2 linked regions of the Rhinolophus ferrumequinum genome follow. The protein of the gene in region 1 interacts with the protein of each later gene in a biochemical or structural test. Links are inferred from orthologs where the notes say so. Each region holds a gene or a part of one and is shown on either strand. Other genes may lie near its edges. The genes, in order: PRPF40A and MECP2.

Region 1 (7,471 bases):
AATCTTTTCATAAACGTCAAATTTTGCCAACTTTTAAACAAGTTAGAATTATGCCTAGTTTATAAGGTTTTCTTTCTACTGCATCAAGAGTTGACATCAATGCTATGAAAAAACTCATAATCGTGCTCACTTCCGCAGCACATACACTAAGACTCATAATCTTGGCTGTTTTTAGAGATGAAACAGTATAACAACATACACTAATAAAATGAGTAACAAAAAATACTATTTTCTCATGCAAGAAATTGAGAAGGGCACAGACAAGTTTTCTAGATTAGTTTCTAACAAACTAATTTGTAATTTGAAGATAAAGGTTTCTCCTCCTGCAAAATCCAGTAGACTATACTTTGTATCATCATGAGGGCACTGTCCTTGAAGAGGTGGATTAAATAGTTTGCTAAGATTGGGGAGGGAGACTGTAACATGCAGGATAGGATCCCAACCATTTTTTTCCCCTCATTTTAGAGTGGTTAATCAAATAAATTATAGCAAATAGGATAAATATACCAAAGTTCTGAACTCTTCAAAATCATTTTGCAGAGAAAAATAAATACAAGATAAATAACCCTTGAATTTTTCACTAGAAACCTGTAATCTATAGCATTCAATAGAGGTTCTACAGAAATTCAGGTCTGACTCTTTCCTAGTCATTATTAACCTGTGCAAGTATGACCAATGCTTCTGACTTTTTTTAAAAACAAGTCGATTATAAAATTTGAACTTAAATCTCTTCTGAGGTCTGCTTAAGATGTTATGTTTTCTAAGTTTGTGAGGAAGTTTTTTTATTTTTTTAATTCCTGGGAAGAAGTATAAGAAGACTCTTTCAGAAAACTCTTTCAGTATTCTCTGGGTCTTTGTCACATACAGTTCTGTTCAAAATGCACTCATTCCTAGTGTGTGTGGTATACATACATACATATACCGTGTTTCCCTGAACATAAGATATAGCCAGACCATCAGCTCTAATGTGTCTTTTGGAGCAAAAATTAATATAAGACCCTTTATTATATTAATATTAATATTATATTATATATTATACTAATTACATTAAAGACCTGGTCTCATATTAATTTTTGCTCCAAAAGATGCATTAGAGCTGCTGGTCAGGCGAGGCCTTATTTTCGGGGAAACACGGTACACATACACACACACACACCCTACACATATGTAAAAAGAAAATCTAATAAAATTGACCACACATACGCAAATGAAAAGATTAAGACTGAATCAACAGCACAAGAAAATACGTTAAGTATTTTATCCAAAATCTTGTATAGTTTAAACATGATCTGAAAAAAACAAATGAGCTCAAAATCAAATGAAGTGACAAGTCCATACCTAATAGCCCAGTGTCTATATCATCTTCATTCTTCAAATTCTCAGCATGTAACTCTGTAAACACAAAAAAGGGCTTCAGTAAAAAAGATGAGTTTGTAATTTGAACAGTAGCTCAAAGGCTGAGAAGACAGTTTTAGAGCTGTGGAAAGTGATCTAAAGTCATAAACTGGGTTCGAATTCTGATTCTATTTATTAGTTATGTGACCTTCAGTAAGCAAGTAAGACGTCTATGAGTCAACTGCCATATATATAAAATGGTAATATTTAAACCATTGAGTTGTCATGAAGACATTTATATAATGCAAATCACAGGGCATACTAGGTTTTGAGTTCAGGTCCTTTCTCCATTCTCCAAAATAGCACAGCTCAATGTACTTGCAGGTTTCGTGGCTTTATGATAAAAAGGCAATCACTCAGAGCAAAAGAGAAATAAACTACCTACAAGACAAAACTCCGAGTTACAGTGAAAAAAGACGGGGAGGGAATGAAATATTGGTACCCATATACTTAATTTAACATTGACAGTTTATAACCAGTACCATTGTACGAATAGGTAAAAATTGCCAATCTGTCTTCTGTATGAAACTCAAGCATGGTAAACTGTTAGATGCCACCTGCAGCCCACTAGTGGATTGGAAGCAATGAGGAAAAATAAAAACTGCAAATAGATTTAATTCAATTTAGTGAAAATTAATATTTGAGTAACAATGTGTTGGGTTCTTCTCATACAACAAAGGTAGTTTTGTCCTAATTTTTCTTTTTCGGCTAACTTGGCTAGTTACACACGAATGAGACCTGAGATTTAAACTCAGGTCTGATTCTTTCCACTGCAATATAAAATATCCAACCACGTAATAAATACATCCGTATAAGCATTGGAAAACCTTTCAAGGCACAACTCTATTCCAATCTGGCTATGTCAACTTTAGACACAGGAAAACAAAATAATCAGAGAAAGCACAGACTAGCTGCTGTAACAGAACTTTACCACTACACTCAGTTGCAAACTTAACACAAAACGAAGAGCTCATTATTTAACTCTAATAGCAGACATTTGGGCTGTGGGATGGAAATCCTTGTACTTCAGGAATTCTCTGAGTGTACAGAGAAATCGTTGGGTAGCACATATTTAACCCGTTGTGAATTAGACTTTGAACACGTATAGCCTATTTTAATTACACTTTTCACCGTCTTCTACTGATTGTCCTGCGTTTTAATTTTGCCAATATCTCACCTCGTGTTCACTGATTTTAAAATACTATTTGACTCAAAGTCTTTCTAATGGGTCTCCTGATGACGGACCAGGACACTTCACCTTTAAGAAAAGTGAGGACAAAGGGAGGAGAGCAAAGAAAAGTGCCATTGAGAACTCTGAATGAAAGCGGCTACCAGCTGAGCTCGCTGGTCTTTGATGGGGAGAAGGGTGACGAAGGCTAGAGCCATGTCCAGGCTCAACTTTATTCTGGACAGACTTTCAAGGCCCGACCTTCAGTACCTTTTACGATCAGGTAGGCGATGGCGAGGAGGAAGGCGAGGAGGGCGGCGAACAGCAGCGAACAGAGAACTGAGAGGACCTGGACCGGCCACCGCCCAACCTGTGTCCGGCCGTGCGTATCCGCCGAGAAGATGCCATTGCGCTTATCCGGCAGGACCGGAGACCCGTCCCCCTCCGGCGGGAGTAACAAGCCCTTTCTAGGCTCTGACGACGCCCCAGCCGAGAATTCTGCCCGCAAGTCGCGGGCTACTTGGTCGCATTCATCCTCCTCGTCCACTTCACCTTCACCCCAACTATCCCCTTGAGTCAAGGAGGAAAACCCCGGCCGACAAAAAGGGACGGGGGTACCGAGGCGGCGGCGCACTGCAACCGAGCACCTCCCGCTCTCCAGGAACGACATGGCGGGAAAGCCGGCGAGGCCCGAGGAGATCCAGCGTCTCCCGCCCGCGCCGCCCCGAGCTCGCAGCAGCCAATCAGCGGCCTGGCCACCCCACGGCCTCCACCACCCTGTCCCCAAGCGCAGGGGTGCGCGAGGGTGCGCGGAGGGGCGGAGGAGGTGCTGTGAGGCCCTAAGAGAGGCTAGGTACAACTGGACTAGAGCACGATCCCCGGGCAGGAGGAGGGAAGGGGAGCCGGGAAGCGAGCGTTGAGGAAGCCGAGGCCGAAGGTAGCCGGGTTTCCTCTCCCTGCTTTGCTTCGTCCCGGCCAGAAGCCTCAGCCACCGCCGCGTCACCTCCAAGCAAGCCCGCGCCCCGGCAGCCCGACAGCTGCATCTTCTGACGCCGGGTCCTAGCGCCCGCTCGTTCCCCTGACTCCCGTACCCAAACCTATTTACTTTCTCCCTTTTGGTCCTAGACGCTCACACTCTCCCCGGGCTTCCCTCATTAACGGCAGCTCACTGGCCAGTGCTTTCAGGTCGCCTTAAGTGCCCACCCGTCATACCCTTTCGCATTGTTCTCCCCGCCCCTACCATAACTTCCCTCCACGCTGCTCGGCACGCCTCCTCCCCCCACCTCTCCGCCCCGGCGCGCGCTCTCCAGCTGGTGCGTACGGTGCTCCAGCCCGCTCCACCGACCACCGGACCCCTCCTCTCGCCTTCCCCGCCCCCGCCCCTCCGCCTAGAGCACCGTGCGCGCGCCTCGGGTCCCGGCCGCCTCTAACGCTAGAAGCTGCTTACCCCTCCCCCCCGCCCACCCTTCCCGACCCCACCCTACCCCCTGGCGGCCTCAGGTTTGTGGGGCGTACGTAACTCGGGCAGGGAGGTGAAGGTGGCAGGTCCCCACTGCCCCACCCCTAAGGGGTGAGGCGGTCTAAGCTCGGGAAGCTGGGACACGGTTGTTTTCCCTTCCCGGGGGTAAGTTGGTGGAGTTTTTCCGGCAGAGGACTCGGCGCAGAAACTTCCTCCGTCCCCCTCCCCCCCTCCATGCAGGCGACGCCGAGTGAGGCTGAGGCTGGGGGCGAATCGCCGCAGAGCTGCGTGTCGGCAGCGCACTCTGACTGGACAGCGGGGAAGCCTGTCAGCTTATTGGCCCCGCTGATCCCGCCCCGTAGCGCGGGGCAGCCTTTAACCTTTGGCCCCAGCGGGCGCCAGCCACTCAGATCGCTTCTTGTTGGTATATGCGGCGGTAGTGGCCGCCGGCGGAGCAGTCTGAGCCAGACGATGAGGCCGGGGACAGGAGCCGAGCGTGGAGGCCTCATGGTGAGTGAAATGGAGAGCCATCCTCCCGCGCGGGGTCCTGGGGACGGGGAGCGGAGATTGTCCGGCTCAAGCCTCTGCTCCAGCTCTTGGGTCTCTGCTGACGGCTTCCTGAGGAGACGGCCCTCGGTAAGGGATCAGTGTGGCAGGGGAAAAGCGGCACAATGAAAAACGGAGTCAGACAGGAAGCTTTCTCCAAAAGGAGAAGAAGATAAGAGTGGACGAAGCTAAGAGCTCGAGGTGGTGGGGTGTGTTCGGAGGGGGAGAAATGGAGGGCGAGAATGCACAAAGGGAAGGATGTGGGACCCTGGAAGTTTCCAGTGGCTTGGCTTAGACAGATGTGCGGTGGAGGTGCTGGGCCCTGAGCTGGGTGACGGTTCCCGAGAGGTAGGCCCGATTTAGGAGGGGCGGGGGGAGGCGGAGACGTGATTCTGGAGGCTTTAGAAGAATATGCCAAGATCTGTTTTCACTAGTAGTAGTGGTGTCTGTAGGGTGGACAGCTGGGAGAATTAGCAGGTGATCCATTACGTGGTTTTAAGACCTGGAACAATGAACACACAGGTAAAGGAAGTAGTTGTCTTATAAAAGCACGTTAAAATGGATGAATTAGTTTTTTTGCATTTAGTGTGTGTGAATGACAGACCTCAGTCTTGGAATAAATTTTTTTTTGGTAGAAATAATTTTACCCGTATAAACGTTATATTAGGAAATGTGATTATATTAGGAAATGTTTATTTGTTAGGAATGAGGTGTCCCTGGGTACCCATACTATTTGTTTCATAAGACCAGTTCTTATTTGAGTTAATTTGGTAAATTAAGCTTAAGATCATCTAGAAATAAATTAAGAATAACTAGTCTTAAAAAATAAAAAGTTATCTAATATCTGTGATAAAGGACAAAGTTGTGGTTTTCATCATAACAGTTAAGTTGGCTTTCACATACATTTTTTTCTGAATTTAGCAAGTCAATTAGTAATTGATTAAATAAATGTGCTTAAAAAAACATGATCTAGCTGTTCACTAATGATTTTTATTTTTTACATTTTGTTCTGGAATTTGATTAGTTGAAAGCTCATTATAAATATTAATGTAGTGCATTTTTGTTTAAGGCAAAGTATAAACTAACCTGGTAATTAAATCACATATTAACCTAATATTATATCACTGCACATAACTGATTTGTTGAAATCAGTTTTTTAAGAAGTTTATTGTTGTTTGCTAATTTTTGAATTCCCCTTATTTTTCAGATGGGGCACCCTGGCATGCATTATGCCCCAATGGGAATGCACCCTATGGGTCAGAGAGCAAATATGCCTCCTGTACCTCATGGAATGATGCCACAAATGATGCCCCCAATGGGAGGGCCACCAATGGGACAAGTAAGAATGTTTTTGTTTTATTTCATTTTTATTTATTTTTGCCTATGGTATTGTGCCAAGATTTCAAAATCTGGGTCAATACTTGTAGCTATTTAAGGATTCGTTTATGCCAAAATAATGTTTTCAAATAAATGAAATGTTGAGTCATGATACTAACCATTTTGAATATAACGAAAAGTCTTCTGTATAAAAGATCAACTTTTTATTGCAACAAAATTGAGTTGTTTTTTTAATTTAAAAGTAATTCTGTACATGTAGACTTTTTAATGACATTTTTCCCCCAAGTATGTCAATTGAACTTAATATTCTAAGGGTAAATATTATCTGATAGATAACATAATTTATGTCGGCGGACTATGTAAATACATAGAATCTGAAAATTGCACTTGTTCAGGTCTTTGGCTTAGAATGAATTTTATTCCTGAAAAAGCTTTCTCGTGTGGGATGGAGGGGGTGTGTGGAGGTGGGGAGGTTCTACTCTAATTTGGTTCTTCATGGGACAGTGCCAAATAGGTAGTTTCCACTTACACTATTTTGTTGTCGTTGTTTTAATGTTTATTGCTTCTGCACTCCTGCTTTTGAGCTGTCCCTTCCATCTCCAGCATAAATTGTAAATGGACATTTTGTAGGAGTGATCTGGATCAAAAGATTTTAATGGGGACTCAGTGAATGTAATAGAGCTGAGTTCCTAGAGAAGCATTTAAGAAAGGTAACAGGTTCAGTTACCGTGAATAATTTTATGCCCCGCTAGATTCTATAATAATTTCTTAGTAGAGCTGCTCTAACTAGATAATGAATCCTTTAAATGCTCTCATTATTTAAAATTAGTTTGGTGGCTGGTTTCTTTCCATTTGAGTATCCCAATAAATCATCAAAAATTTAGGCTAACAAAATTTTTTGGAAAGCCAGTCAATTAGGTATGATGTTTCTGCTAATTAATACTGTTTGTTTTGATAATCATTTAAGCCTTGATGGTTTAAGTTATTGGTGAAATTGTAGTGGAGAAAGGAGCTTGCTCTGCGTCTCTTTTTACTTAATCTTAAGAGTAGTAGGGTTTAAATGTCAAGTACTTTTTTTTTTTAAAATTTGGAATATAGCCCTTAACTTTGTATAAAAATCTTTATTCAAAGGTACCAGGCCCAGAGGATTCGGCTTGTAGAACTTTAAATAAAAGAACCATTTATTTTGTTACGCTAGAATAACATGAGTTTTAAAACTCCCTAGTTGATGGAGAAACACCTCTGATTCCTTTTCTGTTTCTTTCCATCTTTAAGCAGCAAGGAGCTCTTGTTTTCTTAGTAGAGCTGCTCGAACTAGATAATGAGCTTTAAAAAATATTTATTCTTTAAATGCTCTGGTTCTTATTTAAAATTAGTTTCTTTCCACAGAAAGATAAAATAAAACAATTTGCTACTGCCAGATGCTTCTCTCTTTTCTGGGGCCTTCTGTTTCCAATGGGCCAATCAAGGTAAGTTTGCAAGGGATTGACCTGCTTACCCTTGCTGTAATGTGCTATATTGCACTACCAAAACCAAGATACCAGCTCATCATTTCTAGTAAAATG
Region 2 (8,541 bases), on another chromosome or scaffold:
CTTTCAATCTTAGTTGTGGAGGGTGCCGTTCAACTTCAAGTTGTTGTCTTTTCAGTCTTAGTTGTGGAGGGTGCAGCTCAGCTCCAGGTCCAGTTGCCGTTGCTAGTTGCAGGGGGCACAGCCCACCATCCCTTGCGGGACTCAAGGAATCAAACTGGCGACCTTGTGGTTGAGAGCCCACTGGCCCATGTGGGAATTGAACCAGCAGCCTTCAGAGTTAGGAGCACGGAGCTCCAACCGCCTGAGCCACGGGGCTAGCCCCTCCATTAACTCTTTCTTGTTTCCCACTCCTTTTACACAATATTCTGTTCTTGTCTTTTGGATGCAATATTTTCTGTCAGGTCTCTGAATAAGCTAATCAAATTAATTTTTTCCCCATATGTTCCCTGCATTTTCTGGGATTTCTCCAAGTTCATTTTCCCCCTATAGGTTACACTTGACTATTTTTAATGTTGCAGGCCTTATTCAAATTTATGATGATCCCTAGTGGTTGGTTAATATTTAATAAAGAAGGACTGGATAATTATTGTGGATTTATTCTGCTTTAGGGCAAATAGTTCCATTTTCCTGCTATGACTCTTTTGTGTAGGGTAGGGAGCTGAGGAACAGAGTTTATATCCCACAAATGCTGGAATGAGGAGAAAATTGTTCAGGGGTTACCAATACCCATGCTGGAAGCCCTAGCTCTCTACAGACATTTCATTCAATTTCATTAGAGAGCTGTCAGGTATTTTCGCTGCAGGTTTACACCGGTTGTCCCCTCAGCTGTCTGTTGAAGGAGAGGAGGTTCCAACTGGTGCAGTCATTCTGTATTGGGCCCTTCAATCAATCCCCAAGTGTTCAGTCCCATTTAATTCTATTGCCTTCCACCATATGCCTGCTGATTCGGAGCCTACTCTCTGGTGTTATATCTGATAAACTGGCTCCCACTTCCTCTGTAGTTCCCTTGTCAATTTTAGGCTGGATTTTTCCTGCCTGTTTTATCCATCAACTAATTCTCATCTGCTTTCCAAAATGAATGTTGAAATCTGTCCATCGAGGATAACTTCCTATCCTCACCACATTCTCTTCACTCTGATGGGTTTATTCCTTTCTGTTAATCAATACTTTTCTTGCGGTAAGTTTCTAAGGGTAAAGAAGGAAAACCGTGTTTGTATATCTGTGTATATGCGCACGCACATGAGTGCAAGCATGATGTATCAGAATCAATTCATTTCTCATCTATTTTCTAATAAATGTACTTAAGGTTATTAATTTTTCTAGATGACCATTTTGGCCACACAGCATAGGTTTTAATGTGTATGGCTCTCATTGTTGGTCACTGCTGAAGAGTTTATAATTTTAGTTTTTGTTTCCTCTTTAACCAAAGAGTTATTTTGAAGCCTGTTTTAAAAGTTCCAAATGGAGAGTGTTTTTTTGTTTTGTTTTGTTTTGTTTTGTTTTACTTTTGCCCATTCTCTTGTTCCTAAGTTTTAATTTTATTGTATTGTTGCCAGAGATTGAACTGCAGGATTTCTACATTTCGGAATTTACTGAGATTGTTTTTTTTTTTTTGAGGGGTCTAATGTATAAGCAACTTTAGGAAATGTCCCATAGTGTTTGAAACAAATTTGTAGTTTTTATTTACTTATTTTTTGTGATATCATCTGGGATGTTCTAAAATTTTGTGCAGTCTGTTTTACCCTTCTCATGAAAATATATATTTTCTATTAGCCGAAGGGATTTTTAGACAGATGGAGAAGTTTGAACTCTATCTTCCATATCGAAAAAATCCTTCTGGTTGTTGGTTTTCTGTCGTGGTTGCTATCTCTATGACGTTTTCCTGGTTTTTATCTTCTACAGTCCCATTTTTTAAATGGCCCATTTTTAATTCACTAGTAAATACTTTACACTCCAGTATATTTTTCTACTTTTCAATGGCGAGAGTGAAATTGTACCATTTAAGTCCTGTTTATTCAAACTAAGGGATTTAGCAAGACCCTAGACGCTCTCCATTGGTTTTTTTTCTTTCAAAAATGTCTTGACTTCTAGCCTTGTACACTTACTCTTCCCAACCTAGCATTAACTTGTTATAGTATATAAAAACTCCTGGATTTTGATTCAGGCAAAGAATTTCCAGATTAATTTGTGAAGAATTGACATCTTTATTGTGTTTTTTAATGTAGGTGTTTTGGCATTTCTTATGACGTTTGTTCCCAACTGCTTTATAATTTTTGTAGCTAGAGTAAGTTGAATGTTTTTCCCCCATTAAATTTCCCAGCTCTTGGCTGGATCTCTATGTCTGCATTCTAACAAGCAGGGAATCAACTTGGAATTAATTGGTCTTTCTCCTTGCTGTGAACTCCAAGGATGAAGTTTAAAAGAGAATGAAAGGAGAAGCACACGTGTTTTATTTTACACAAGTGATGTTGCCCTGTAGATCTTGTTCTGTTTCTTGCTTTGTTTCTACTTCACACCATTAAATACAATGTTTGTTCTAAGTTTTTTTTGATAGATACCTTTGATTAGATCAAGAAAGTTCCCTTCTATTCATAGTTCTCTAAGTTGTTGGGGTTTTTTTTTATCATAAGTGGCTGTTGAATTTTATCAAATGCTTTTTCTGCATCTATTGAAATAATCATATAATTTGTTCCCCTTAAATTAGTTAAAGTTGATTTTCTAATTTTAAACCATCCTTGCATTCTTAGGATAAAACTCAACTTGGTTATATTATTATATACCGCCAGATTCAGTTTATTTGTCTAGAAGTTTTACATCTATTTCCACATCCAGTATCATGCTGTTATTCGCTCGTTATAATAGTTATATTAGTTTCACAAGTTTGGAGAGATTTCTTCATTTTTTTTTCTGTTTATGATTGGAATTACCCACTCATTAAAGATTTGGTAGAACTCGTCTGTAAAACTCTCTGAGCTTGTTTTATTATTTTTTTTGGGGGGAGAGATTTTTAAAATACATAATCAATTCCTTTGTGGTTATCGAGGGTCTATCCAGGTTTTGTTTCTAGAGTCAATTTTGGTAAGCTGTGCTTTTCTAGGAATTTATTCATTTTGTTTATATTTTCCAATTTATCTACCATCTATTGTATAATCTATTCTATCTGTAGGCTGTGGCTCCTTTTCATTTTTATTATAAGGGGCTGGTCTCTTCTCTCCTTACATGTCACTTCTTAGAGGGTTGGCTTTTGTTTTTCAGCTTGTCGAAGAATCAGCTTTTGATGTACTCAATCTATCACTTGTTTCTGCTTCATCAATTTCTGCTCATTGTTATTTTTCTTCTATTTTCTCCATTTTTACTATGTTGTTCCTTTTATAGCTTCTTGAGTTAAATATTCAGCTTGTTGACTTGTTGACTGCTTGTTGACCCAAGAGCCTGCTCAACAGCTCCACTTGCACGTCTAATAGGCACTCTAAGCTTAACATGGCCAAAACAGAATTCTTGATCTGTACCTATAAAAACGTGCGTTTTCTACAGGGGAGCCCAATCGTGGTGAAAGGCACCCATTTACTCAGTTGCTCAGGACAAAAACTCAGGAATCATACTTGTTTCTTCTGTCTTTATACCCTACAGCCAATCCTTTCTGCCTGATTTTGAAAACATGGCTTGAATCTCACAACTTTTCAGAACCTCCACTGCTACCATCCTAGTTAAATCCACTCTTACCTCTCCTAGATTGTTGTCAGGAGCTCCTGACTGGGCTCTTGCTCCTAGTTTTGTCCCAGCATGGATAGTTCTCCACACTGCACCTACAACATAGATTTGATGGTGTCAACTCCCAGTTCAAAATTCTCCAAGGGCTTCTCAGCTCAGAATAAGCTCCCATTTCCCATAGTGACTCCATCCCTCTCTAGCCACATAAGCTTCTTTGTTAGTCCCTAACACGCTGGGCATAGTCTCTCCTCAGGGCCTTTTTACTTTTCTGAAATGTTCTCTCCCCAGATATCTACATGGGGGAATAAAATGAAGGCAAAAGCCTGTGGATATCTAAATAGCACCTATTCACCCTTGTTTTATCTACCTCAAAGCCTTTATCACTATGTTACATTATGTTACATAGTTATTTGTATGTTTAGTATGAATATTTCACATAAGAATGTTAGTTTGCTGTCTTATTCAGTTCTGTGCTTCCAGAGCCTGGAACAGTGCCTGGCATATAGCAGCTGTTTAGTAAATGAATGGCGGTGGGGGGGGGAGCCAAATCAGAATTAGAAGATTCCTTGTTAATCACAGGACTTGTACAAGGAGCATTTGATGAATTGGAGGATGGCTGGAATCAGAGTAAGTTCGCCTTGTCAAGCAGTCTTATCTTGAACACCCCACTGACTAAAACTTTTCTTATACTCTTATTTTTTCAAAACAGAATTGCTGGCTCTTAGCTCCCAAGTCACCTCTTCTAGGAAATCTTCCCTTTCCCCTCCAGGTAGAGCTTAGTGCTGCTTCCTCTGTGCTTCCACTGCCTTCTTCACACCTCCACCAAACCATCTGATCCAACAATGACGGGTCTCATGCAGCCTTGTCATGTCCCCTTTTCCCCCACCACAGTTTCACGAAGGCCAGAGCTGTGATTTGTTGTCAGTTTATTCCCTGCCCCTATGAGAGTCTGGCTCGTGGCAGGCTCAGATGAAAGAATGCAATGGATAGGCCTCTTAAACCAAGGTCTTTCAGCTGGAACGTCAGGCTCCAGGGCAGGCAACTTTGTTGCTTCTACTGAAGGTGGTGACAATAAGAAAATGCAGGTGCAGTGAAACACTTATTGCAGCTTACTTGGTGTGTTTGCGGACAGCGCATCAACCGCCCAGGAGGGCCGCGCGCAAACAGGAGTGCGAAGGCTAGGCCTTCACTTGCCCCAGCATCCGCAAGGGCCCATTAATCCTTAATATTCAAATTCCTCCCACTAAACCAGCCCCTCAGTGCCCAAGCCGCCTCTTTTTCCCAAATGACGGCCAACGGCAGCCAATCGGCAGCTGGGCAGGGGGTCCGCCCCCTTTTCCCTGGCCAGAATGGACACAAACTATCGCCAATTGGTGGCTCCGCCGCGGAGGACCCGCCCCGCCCCGATCGCCGCACCCAATGGCAGACGGGCTCGCGGCAGCGCCGGGGGCGGGACGCGGGCGCGCAGGTGCAGCTGCGCGCAGTCCGGCCGGGAGGGCGGGGCGCGACGTCGACCGTGCGGAGTCCCGGCGTCGGCGGCGCGCGCGCTCCCTCCTCTCGGAGAGAGGGCTGTGGTAAAAGCCGTCCGGAAAATGGCCGCCGCCGCCGCTGCCGCGCCAAGCGGAGGAGGAGGAGGAGGCGAGGAGGAGAGACTGTGAGTGGGGCCACCGCGGCCGCGGGCGGGGACCCTTGCCGAGGGGCGGGGGGTAGGGGCGGGACGTGGCGCGGGAGGGGCCCGCGGGGTCGGACGACACGGCTGGCGGATGGCGTCCCTCCTCTTTACCCTCCCCCTCCCGCCGCCGCCGGTGACGGCTCCCCCCTCGGCCCGTCACCCGCACTTGCGGGTGACCGTCCTCGCCCCGGCCTCCCCGGGCCACCTTCGCCTGGCGCCCCGCTCTCTCCCGCCTTCAGCGCGCATCCCGGCCCCCGGCCCCACGGGCGCCGCTGTCGCTGGGGCTTCGCTTGTCTGGGCTGCGCGCGCGTCGTGCCCTTCTCGGGGCTTCGGGCCCGCGGCGCCGTCGCGCGCCCGCGGCCCCAGCCTCTCCCTGGATCGCGCTCTCCCCTCTCCCTCCCTCGCGCGCCCCCTCTCCCGTTACTCGGCCCCCCCCACCGGCGCGCGTGCGCAGTCCGCCTCCCGTCGGGAGAGTGCGCCACAAGGGCTCCTGCGCTCTCACCCCCCATCTTCAGGCTCTGCCTCCCCCTCCTTCTCGCCCATTCCGTGACTTTCTGCCCCCATTGCGAGCGAGTCGGTCCACCATCTCCTTTCCCATCCAGCAGGAACAAGTAGGTGGGAATTTATTGTCCACCCACAAAAGGGACTAGACATTGTGTTCCTGGTCCCACAACTCATCCGAAAGAGGCTGTTCTAGTTCCCATCGGGAGCCGTGGATAGGGGACTGTTTGTCCGGCAGCACCTGAGGCTCTTCAGTGGGAGTGCGCCTCCAGGGTCTTTGGGGTTGCGGTGGCCTCAGAAATATGAGCGTCCTCCCATCCTCCCCCCTCCGCCGGCGATCTTCCAGTTACATAAGTGGAGTGGGACACCGTATGTAACGGGCTCCCGTAGTCCTGGACGCGTCCTGCTCTAGATCACCAGTACCATATGGGGCAAGTTCATCGCATCGCTGTGGTTCCTGTCAATTGTCTCTGAAAGTTTATTTTCTTTTTAGTTTGGTTATGCCTGACTCGCCCACACTGAAACTCAGGTGACTTTTACATGGTGTGGCAATGTGTCTGTGGTTTTGCGCTGAAAACTTAAGGTCATTGTGAAGAGTCTAAAAAGAGTGCTCTCACAGAGGAGAGACCCTTTGCGATATTGCTAAGTATGGCTCGGAGAGGGGGAAGCTTGCTCTGGAATACCTCTGTGGCAGTCGTTTCTGTTGTGTGTTCCGTGTGGATTGGTCACAGCAGAAATGGGCTCAACCACAAAATTGATATTCCTGACTCATGGTCAGGCAGATGTGTGCTTCTGGTTATTTTTCCAGGAACAGGAATGGGCTCTGTGGAGCCATTCACATGTTGTGTCTGCTGTGTGGGATCAGTACCCCAAGTTGTGAGACGGTAGGATCAAATTCAGGGGGTGGTTGGTGATCCTGGAACCATCCCTACCGGCGTGCGCTGATGCTAAGTGGCTTAGACTTCCGGCGTGTGATGATGCGAAGTAGTTTAGACTTGGTAGGACTCTCCCAAGTTACAGGCATTTGGTCATGCTAGAAAAACGAAGCGTAGTCAGGCCTTGGTAGTAAAATTCATTGTTAATGGCAGTTAGTACTCTAGAGGAGAAATTTGGGTTTCATGGCTGGAATTTTCATCTGGATCTCAGTAATTGCAGTTAACAGTGAGATTGAGCCTGGCCTCTTGAGTCTCTTGAAATATGCTAGATCCTTATTGAAAATACAGGGTCTGGATTTTTTTAGGTCTTCTGGGAATTTCCCCCAGGGATTTCGGGGAAATGGGCTTATTTGTGGGCTTTTTAGGACTTGCACTTCAAATCCCAGTGGGGAAGCCTAGAAAACACTTTTATTTCCTTACCCACACATGTCAGAACTTTAAAGGGCACAATCAATCTAGTAGAAGTACAGTTGATTAAGTAAGTCGCCACAGAGCACCCATTCGTACATGTCAGCTAAGTGGCCTGTCACTGAGGTACATCCCGTCCAGAACACAGACACGCAAGCCTCACTTGACAAAGATTCCAAGGTTTGTACATCTGAACCTGAGATGTCACTGGACAAGGGCTTTGCTTTGTTTTGCCGTCGTTGGCAATGTGTTTGCCTCTTCAGATGCCCTCCAGCCAGCTGTTTGTCATACCCCTAGCCCTTTAAACAGCACAGGTAGCTTCCAGAATATAGTTTATCTGCGAAGTTCCTGGTGGTGTGTGAAGTAAGCATGTCCTAACAGCTTGAAGAGACCTTCTATGGCTTTCTTGCTCATATTGGCCTATCATGCTGTTCTATTTCTTACTGTTACAAATTTGCCTGGAATGCTTTAAACCGAGTACCAGGTCTTTGTTTCACCTGGCAAAGCATGATGCCGTCAAACCGTACTCCCAACTTTTGGGCTGTTTGTGTACTGGGGGGTGGGGTGGGGGTTAGAATACAGTTTTGCATTCTATTTGTAATTTCCAGTCAGAGCCATTGTTTCCCTGCCTGCCCTGCCGCTGAGTGGCCGGATCTAGTGGGGTACGGAGGCGAGCTGTGGAGTTGGACAGCACAGCTGGCTAGATGAGTCCCATATGATGTTGCCCCCCACCCAAATACTCCTTCCCCCACGTGGAGATCAAATGAGAAACTCTCTTCTTTAACTTACAATAAAGAAGAGCAGCGTTAAAATTGTTGGTTCCCGTCTCAGGCCCGTTTTCGCTGCTAAGGTACCTGCCTGGGACTGTTTGCATGATAAATGATGTGTCTTGCAACCAGTCATCTTTTCTAACAACGAATATCAGAAGAAATCTTTTAATTGGCTCAGAGCAGTTTGTTGGAAGGCTGCCTGAGAGTCCGTGAGAGAATAACAGAAAATGTTTGACATTTGTAGTAACTAGTGTTTTAAACGCACGGGGGGTAAAAGAACAGCCCTAGACTGGCGCCGAGTTGCAGGGAGTGTGGCAGGACACCTGCTTGTTTCCACTGCCCTCTGTTATGGTGACATGCGTGCAGACCAGCCTCCTGTGGCCAACAGACACAACCGTTTTTCTTGGGTAGAGTATTACTGTCACTCCAACGGAAGGACCTTGTCCTCAGTGCTTCTGTAACAGCCCTCTCTGGGCAAACTGCCATTGTCACCACTGTGCTTCTCCCTTGTTTTGGTTAGGACACACGTACATGGGTTCCTCTTCCTTGGACTCACACAAAGGTTGCGCTCTTCTGCCTTTATGTACCCTCTTCTGCCTTTCTC

The links.
Region 2: the proteins of PRPF40A (region 1) and MECP2 form a complex in vitro, tested with the Homo sapiens proteins (2 studies listed by BioGRID, with this or other methods). The link is inferred for Rhinolophus ferrumequinum from reciprocal best matches to the Homo sapiens genes PRPF40A and MECP2.

Annotation. Positions count from the first base shown.
Region 1 is NC_046291.1:67,935,669-67,943,139, forward strand, and holds the start of PRPF40A (pre-mRNA-processing factor 40 homolog A), read left to right. Parts: upstream 1-4,256; coding exon 4,257-4,658; intron 4,659-5,775; coding exon 5,776-5,907; intron 5,908-7,295; exon of another isoform or gene 7,296-7,327; coding exon of another isoform or gene 7,328-7,375; intron 7,376-7,471. Other genes in the region: ARL6IP6 (ADP-ribosylation factor-like protein 6-interacting protein 6), read right to left, coding at 1,339-1,392, 2,834-3,233.
Region 2 is NC_046284.1:6,364,540-6,373,080, forward strand, and holds the start of MECP2 (methyl-CpG-binding protein 2), read left to right. Parts: upstream 1-5,148; 5' UTR 5,149-5,243; coding exon 5,244-5,305; intron 5,306-8,541. UniProt on the Homo sapiens protein: Chromosomal protein that binds to methylated DNA. It can bind specifically to a single methyl-CpG pair. It is not influenced by sequences flanking the methyl-CpGs.